Cricetulus griseus: one gene and its partner. The protein of the gene in region 1 interacts with the protein of each later gene in a pairwise test. Links are inferred from orthologs where the notes say so. Each region holds a gene or a part of one and is shown in the gene's direction. Other genes may lie near its edges.

Region 1 (3,812 bases):
TTTTCTCCATGCCTTTGCTTCTTGGGTTTAACAGGTTAGACTGTCAGATGTTAGACTATCACGTGAGACAATGGATACACTAATTTACAGTTCTACTCAGACTTTTGCTATGTTTTCTTTCTTTTCTATAGAATATGAGTAAAATAAACACTATGCAAGTTACTACTGCTAGGTGAATTTCTCAAGGTAGATTCTTGGAGGCAAGGGCATTGAAATAGTTTTTAAAAACTCAGTTATGTCAAAAGACAAATGATGGACTGATAATAGTAACTCAGCATCTGTACTGAGTTCAGACATTAGAAACCAAAACATTTTACCCATTTGGTTGATATGACCTAAAAACACCCAATTGCAAAGTATGACATTCTAGCACATACCTAGAATCCCACCACTTTGGAGGACCTTATTCAGTACCAGCCTAGACAACACAATGAGATCCTGTTTCAAATTAAAAAGACAGTAGTCATGGCCATATAACTATGCTTTCTCATCTTTGCAAAATTTGTTCCTCGATACCTGCCATCTTAGGTGCAATTTTTCTTGAGCTACAAATCACCTTTAACCACTTGCCCTGCCTGTGTAAGCTATGGGCTTTATCATAATGATTGGTTCTATACATTTATATACAATTATGAAGTAGCCATTTTCTTTTCATGCACAATTTGTTCCTATATAAATTGTTAATACATTCAAAGTGAAAAATTTCCAATTTCTAATGTAAGTAACACAAGTATTGTGTTTAATCCTAATTGTGCCTCAGAAGAAAATTAATTCTTGTCTCCCCACCCCCCCTTTTTTGATGTTATTTTTCTGTGTACCTCTGGATGTCCTAGAACTCACTTCATGGACAGGCTGGCCTCTAACTCAGATTCACCTGCTTCTGCCTTCCAAGTGCTGGGATTAAAGTATGCAACATCACCACCTGGACCTCTTTGGGAATTTTTTTTATTATAATTATATTCCAGAGTATAGCACGATAGTTTTTCTTAAAGTCTCTTGCCTTTTCCTTCTTTGTATTTTATTTGGTGGTAATTACTATAATTGGATAGCATAATCCCAGGATAAATTTTTATGTGTTCCCAGATTTAAGTACTATTTTAGAAGAACATAACTGATGTAAGCCAAACAATATCCACACTAAAATGTTGAATCATGTGTCATTGAAAAGGGTGGAAAAAATAAGCCAGGCATAGTGGCACAGGCCTTTAACCGCAGCACTTGGGAGGAAGAAGCAGGCAGATCTCCAGGGTTCAAAGCCAGCCTGGTCTACAAAGTGAGTTCCAGGACAGCCAGACTTACACAGAGAAACCCTGTTTCAAAAAAGAAAAACACAAACCAAACCAAAAATAACAGAAGAGATTGGTTGAATGGCCAATATTTCTCCCACTTGCCATGCTTCTTTATACAGACAGCAGGCTTTTTCACCTTTCCCTCACAGACACAAATCATCAGACCTAGTTTGAGTTGTAGAGTGAGAATCTGTAGTGTGTGTGCAGGTGTGTGGAGGTAGGATGCCAGGTGTCTGCCCCAATTTTCTTTCCATTCTGTGTTTTGAAATAGGGTCTTTCATTGAATCTGGAGCTTCTTGGTTAGGCTAGGCTGGCCAGTCATCGAGCCTCTAGGATCCTCCTTTCCCCACCTTCCCAGTGCAGGGCTCACAGGCATGTGCTGCCACTCTGTGCTCACATGGCAAGCTCTTCAGCAACTGAGCCCTCTCCTGAGCCCCAAGGATCTGGATTTTTAAGCATCTCTGTGGATGTTTTACACAGGCCAGGTTTGGGAATCAGAATTAGGCTTTACTCTATGCTGTTAACAATACTTGGGTAAGCTGGTTGAAATGGTGTGTGTGTGTGTGAGTGTGTGTGTGAGAGAGAGAGAGAGAGAGAGAGAGAGAGAGAGAGAGAGAGAGAGAGAGAGAGAGACAGAGAGACAGAGAGACAGAGAGAGAGACAGAGACGAGAGAGAGAGCAATAGCTTGGTTTGTGGTTCTTTTACTCTTGTAAAGCTATCTTTGAAAGGTAGGTGTGGTGGCACATGCCTATAATCACAGCACTAACAAGGCTGAGGCAGAAGAATGGCAGGTTCAGGACCATTCTGATCTACACAATGAGACCCTGTATCAAAAACAAACCAAAAAATATGGCTGGAGTGATGGCCCAGCAGTTAAGAGCATTTGTTCTGCAGAGGACCCTGGTTCAGGTCCCAGCACCACATGCAGGCTCACAACTGTTTCTGACTTCAGTTCCAGAGGATGTAACATCCTCTTCTGGCAGTTAGAGTATGTGCTGCCCTTGAGGACCCAAGTTCAAGTCCAAGCACCCATGTCAGGAAGGCCATAACTGCCTGTAACTCCAGCTTCAGGGGATCCCACACTGTCTTTTGGGATCATGGGCACTTGCATTCTAACACATACACATCAAAAATAAAATCTTAAAAACAATGTCTGGTGGAGGTAGGTCCCTGTGTTTCCGAACCATTTTTCAAACAGTGTTTATAGTGTCTAGTAGATTTGGTTTGTTACATAAGAAAATGTAGCCAGCTTGAGAACATCACTAAGGTTTGAAGTAGTATCTCATGCTAATGGAGCTGAGATCCATATGTGATGGTTCCATTTCTGCCACTCACTGCTCTGTGACCCTTACTGAGTCTCCCCTCCTGTCCATGTGGGTTTTAAGATGTACACACAGGATTTAGGCTCTGGGGTTCATGTTTTTTCAGTTCCCTGTAACTTAGGCTTTAAGTAGTACTCACCTGTGTTAAATCCAGCTTTGGTCCATATTTGTCCTTTACTCTTACTAAAGTAAAAATGAGCCTGTCACTGGATCTCTGTCTCTCTGTCTCTGGCTAAACCTCAGCAGAACAGGATCCTGAGTCTGTGGGGGAGATGCCAGCCTTTGCTGAAGGTTTGTTTCTGAGAAATGATGTGGTTTCCATGAAAAGTTAGACTCACGTCATGTAGGATTTAATAGAAATCATTCTTTAAAAAAATTGCTTTGGGCATTAGGTAAACCAGGAAATTAGGAGTATGGAAGTATACTTTATATTTTAGAGGGTTAGTAATTACTTTGTTCCTACAACCTTCCCTCCCACCCCCAAGAGAAAGAGCCTTTTCTAGTGTATCTGATTAGCTTTTGTTTTCTGTTTCAGGATGCAATTCGAAGTCACAGTGAATCAGGTACTTTACCCCATTTAATGATCAGTAATGGGCTTTTTCTCTCTATGCTGTGATCTTTTGTTGGCTTATCTACGTTCGGATTCTGTTTGTCTTGTCTATTAAGCCTCACCTTCAGCCCTGTCCAGCAGCCCCAACAACCTGAGCCCAACAGGATGGTCGCAGCCTAAAACCCCTGTGCCAGCACAAAGAGAACGGGCACCAGGATCTGGGACCCAGGAAAAAAACAAAATTGTGAGTATGGCTGATAATACCTCCTGCCCCTCCGGGCTTAGTAAAGATAAACTCTTAGAAATTCGGATGCATTTAACATATTTGGGGGTGGGAACCTATTAAAAATACTGAAGGAAAATGAATGCAGTGTCCCCTAGCATGTTCATTGTCTGTAAGTTGCCATTTGGCTACAACTCAGTAAACTGGTATCTCCTCAAAGACAAACTTGTAGCTGCAATGACAGTGCCCATCTTTAAAGGAAGCAGGAACAGATGGGGGTGGGATGACTCTTTGATAATCTTGCTCTCAGCAGGCTGTTGGCATTCTATGGGTTATGAATGATTTCCACTTGTTTCAGAGGCCTCGTGGGCAGAGAGATTCAAGCTATTACTGGGAAATAGAAGCCAGTGAGGTGATGCTGTCCACT
Region 2 (4,566 bases), on another chromosome or scaffold:
CGGCAGGACGGAGGGCGGACTCGGTTTCCCAGAAATCAACGCGTCGCATTGAGGCGGGGTGCGCGCGCCGTACGCCGGGAGACGTAGTCCGCGAGTCTCCTCCGTCACGCGGGGACAGTGTAGGGGTGAAAGGTGAAGTGGGCGGGGCTGCTGGAGCGCGCGGTAAGGCCCACCACAGTGCCCTGCGTGCGCGGGGAAAGGGCGGCGGATCAGGAAGTGATGTAAAAAAGGTGCTCCGCTGTGGAGATCCATGGGAATTGAAGTTCAATTCAGTGAAACTAGACTCTACCCCGCCCATTTTCTGAATTGGAGACCCTTGTCATTTTTTTCCCCTCGAAGTCCCAAGGAGGCTTTTTGGGACTGCCCTGGAACTTGCTGCAGACTGTCATCCTGCCTCTGCTTCCCTAGTGCTGGGACTACGGGCGTCCGCCACCACGCCCAGTTTAAATGACTCATTTTAGGGGCACTGGAGATTGAATTTAGACCCTCATACATGCTAGGACGCGCTCCATTATTGAGCATCACCTACAGCTCTCTTTTTATTTTTTATTCTGAGACAGCTCATTCTAAGATGTCCAAGATAGTCTTGGATTTACAATAATCTCTACTAAATCAGACCACAGCGTCCTTACTCAGGCAGTAAAGTCCGAAACCTGAGTCCTCTGACTCGGAACAGAAAAGTGGAGACTCACTTCCCTCCTCCTGGGACTCAGTCCTCCTCTCTGACCCGTTCCTGAGGTCCATAGCGCACCTTATTACACAAGCCTCCGCAATCCTTCCCTCGCGCACTCATGCCCTCGAGCCCGGAATTCCGAGTCCCCAGACTCGGTCCTCCGGCCCCGAGCTCTCAGCTTCCCCAGGACCTAATCTAATAGCACGGAGCCCCTCCCGAAACCCCGTTCTCCCTAGGACCCGGTAATCCAAGTCTCCAACTCCATGCACTCGTAGGAACCAGTTGCCTGAGTCATCAACTGCCTCCTCCAAACCCGAGACCCTGGCTGTAGGGCCTTCTGGCCCCGGACTTCCCGAATAGGATGCGCTGGCTCATGGATTAGGAATGTGGTGATCTCACAGCCCGCCCGTCCGTCCCTGCCCCGTTACCCTGCTGTCCCCCTCCAGGGCCCCAGCTTCCCTCCCAGACTATCTTCCGTTTGGCTGGGACATGGGGAACCGGAAGCCTGAGTCCCTTGTCGAGGCAAGACTCCAGCTTGTAGACCAACGCCGGGGCAGAAAGCTGGCGACGATCCCAGGAAGGAGGCGGAGCTTCTCTTCCGAGACCTGAGCTTCCTAAAAGCGCCCTATATACGGCCCTGAAACCTCGAGCCCCACCTACCAGAAATACCCAGGGGTGGTCCTTAGATAACCACTACCTCTGGTGTCCTCATTTGCATATGTCCGCCCTGCAAGAACTTCTCGCCCTAACATGGGGCTTTATTAACATAGCTCCTCCCAAAGGTGGACTGTCTGAAAGGAGCACGTGGCTGGGCTACGGGTGGGCACTGATCTATATTAGCATATCCCCGCCCCCTTGGAGTTCCGGTCTTTGCCAACTTGTTTCCCCTACTCTTACTTATTAATATAGCTCCTCCCTTTCCCTGGCCTCGCCTTCTCCCGGAGCATCGGGAGACGCGCATCCTGCAGTCCGGAGCTCATGTTTATGCAGTTCTTATTAGCATAACCCACGCCTTGGTTTCTCCTGACTCCCCCCCCAGGCGGTAGCGACAGCGGCGGCAGCGGTGGCGACATGAGCAGCGGGGCGGCGTCCGGGACTGGGCGGGGGCGGCCCCGGGGCGGGGGGCCGGGACCCAGGGACCCCCCGCCCGGCGAGACTCACAAGCTGGTGGTCGTGGGCGGCGGCGGCGTGGGCAAGAGCGCGCTGACCATCCAGTTCATCCAGGTAGTGGGCCCTCACCGGGGAGGGTGTCCCCAAGAACGAGAATTTGAGCCCTTTGGGGGTTCCCTGGAACTCTTAACTTCTCCCAGAGCCATCACTGAGACTCTTCTAAGAGGGTCTCTAATCCTAAAAGATCCCTGCAGATCGCTACTCAAAGTGCCCAAGGCCTCCACCCCCTTCATGCGGAGAGCTTTCTCCTAATACGTCCCGAGGCAGATCACCCTCCCTGAGGTACCTGAGAGTCCTGAGAGCGGACCTGGCCCTGCTTACCCTAAATTCTAAATAATTGCTCCATTCAGATCCTAAGCGTGAGGCCCTGACACCTGAACCTTGCCTGCCCGAAGTCCCAGCTTATTAACCTCTTAACCACCCAAGAGCCCGACTTGGCCCAGCAGCTGTGCTCTGTACTTTTGACATTCCCACAGCTGGAGCCCTAGTCCCTCTATTCAGGGAGCATCTCCCAAACTTTGGAAAATTTTGCCCAGACGTTGGTTCTAGATAGGACTCTGTAACCCCTGCTGAAGATTTCCCCTCAGACCTTAGGAAGATCCTGCCATTCTAGGAAAACACCAATATCTGGCAGTATCTTATTCTGCTAAATGCAGACCCTCACTCTCCCACCCCACCCCAACCCAAGGAAAATCTACCATTTTTCTACTCTAAGATCTTCACTCCACTCCAACTCCCTGCCCTCACCTCTGGAAATCCTGGGTAGCTCCCAGGTCACCTCCAGGTTAAAAACAAAACCAAAAAAAGAAACCTCAGGTTTTCCACAACCTCCAAAGACCAGCTACTTGGAAGATTCTAGGACCCATAAATGCACCACTACATCATAAACCTACCCTCCAAGCGTGCTCCAGGCTGTTCTCACCTTTGAGCATCTCCTATAGTCTCCCCCACACAAACCAAGCCTCATCCTCACCAGGCTCTGCTCCTTCACCCTTCCAGCCCCAGCCCTCAACAAACACCCTCTAGAGAGGAAGCCACCTTCAGTCCCAGCAGCCAAGTTCTGAAAATCCAGCCCAGCCCCGGAAACCTCCACCCAGTTCCCACAGGGAGTCCCCCCCCCCCAACACCATCCCCACACTGGTCAGGGCAACACTAGGAAGGTGAGAGCCCACTCGCTGCAGTAGAGGTTCCTGGGTGACAGACATACACACACGAGGCACCTCCATCAATGCCTGTGAGAAGCCTACAGCGGAAGAAGAGCCCAAATTTGAGCCCTTGGCACTCAGGGCCAAACCCAGAGCTGGCCAGAGGTCTGGCTGGAGGCAGCAGGACCCAGGCAGGAAGGGAGGGGCAGGTTGAGGGTGGGGCAGACTCTTCTAAGCAGCATTGGAACCTAGACCTTCCCCAGGGAGGAGACACTGGCTGCTCACAGAGGAAGGAGTGGAGGAGGGAAGAAGGAAGGGGGAGGAAGGGAAGAAAGAGAGACAGGCAAGATAGGCAGCTGCTTTGGTCAACTAGAGGTCTCAGAACCTGATCATTGACTATCACCAGGCCAAGCGTTAAGTGTTGAGGAGAGAATTCCTGCAAATCAAACACTGTCAGATGTATAGTGTGTTCATCCTTTCTCCAAATGAGGAAACTGAGACTCAGAGAGGGAAAGTGATTTGTTTGGAGTGACTTTGCAGCTGGGAGTGATCATGGCAAAGGAAGATACTTTACACTGAAGAAAGCAGAGGCCCCAAGAGAGAGAACAACGGGATTGGTAACAGGGATCCATGACCTGGGGACAGTCAGTCAGAAAGATGGAATCAGAATAGCCAGGCAGGGCAGAGAGTCAGCGAGATGGAGAGGGAAAGAGATGGGACAGCCAGGCCCAGATAGAGACAGACGACACGGACAGCAGTGGGGAGAGACAGGTACACTGAGACAAGGGGGAGGGATGGGCCCAGAGAACGAGAGGAGACAGAGACCGAGAGAGAGAGAGACCCAGAGTGGGACAGAGACTGAGGGCAAGATCTAGGGACAGGGCTCACAGGCACACACATACACACACACAAAATGCTTTGATGACAGTGACCTCTCTCTGTCCTCCAGTCCTACTTCGTGTCTGACTACGACCCCACCATTGAGGACTCCTACACAAAGATCTGCACTGTGGATGGCATCCCTGCACGGCTGGACAGTGAGGATGGCTGGGCTTGGATGGGAGGCAGATAGCAGGGCTGAGAGAACCTATGAGCATCCCCAGGGCAGCCTAGGACCCACATATTCCTCTCCCTGTCTCACAGTTCTGGACACTGCTGGTCAAGAGGAATTTGGTGCCATGCGGGAGCAGTACATGCGTGCTGGCAACGGCTTCCTGCTGGTGTTTGCAATTAATGACAGGCAGAGGTGAGGGGGAGCACTGGTGCACCGGACTGAGCACACGACAGGTTCCTCCCAGAGGCAGCCTCTCACTACTGGCTTCTCTTGCAGCTTCAATGAGGTGGGCAAGCTATTCACGCAGATCCTCAGAGTCAAGGACCGTGACGATTTCCCCGTTGTGCTAGTTGGGAACAAGGCAGATCTGGAGACACAGCGCCAGGTTTGAGATGTCCCCTTACCTGATGACCCCATTTGGACCTGGGAGGCTCTTGCAGGGAAACCTCTCCTACACTGGGTCTTCTGCACTGAGTCACACCCCCAGCCACTCATTGGGAAATTCTAGGCAGGTGCTTTATCAC

The links.
Region 2: the proteins of Raf1 (region 1) and Rras interact in a two-hybrid assay, tested with the Homo sapiens proteins (2 studies listed by BioGRID). The link is inferred for Cricetulus griseus from reciprocal best matches to the Homo sapiens genes RAF1 and RRAS.

Annotation. Positions count from the first base shown.
Region 1 is NC_048601.1:29,213,686-29,217,497, forward strand, and holds part of Raf1 (RAF proto-oncogene serine/threonine-protein kinase), read left to right. Parts: intron 1-3,147; coding exon 3,148-3,175; intron 3,176-3,278; coding exon 3,279-3,406; intron 3,407-3,743; coding exon 3,744-3,812. UniProt on the Homo sapiens protein: Serine/threonine-protein kinase that acts as a regulatory link between the membrane-associated Ras GTPases and the MAPK/ERK cascade, and this critical regulatory link functions as a switch determining cell fate decisions including proliferation, differentiation, apoptosis, survival and oncogenic transformation.
Region 2 is NC_048599.1:153,902,627-153,907,192, forward strand, and holds the start of Rras (ras-related protein R-Ras), read left to right. Parts: upstream 1-1,704; 5' UTR 1,705-1,744; coding exon 1,745-1,897; intron 1,898-3,582; exon of another isoform or gene 3,583-3,605; intron 3,606-3,937; coding exon 3,938-4,025; intron 4,026-4,131; coding exon 4,132-4,234; intron 4,235-4,318; coding exon 4,319-4,427; intron 4,428-4,566. UniProt on the Homo sapiens protein: GTP-binding protein with GTPase activity, likely involved in the regulation of MAPK signaling pathway and thereby controlling multiple cellular processes. Regulates the organization of the actin cytoskeleton.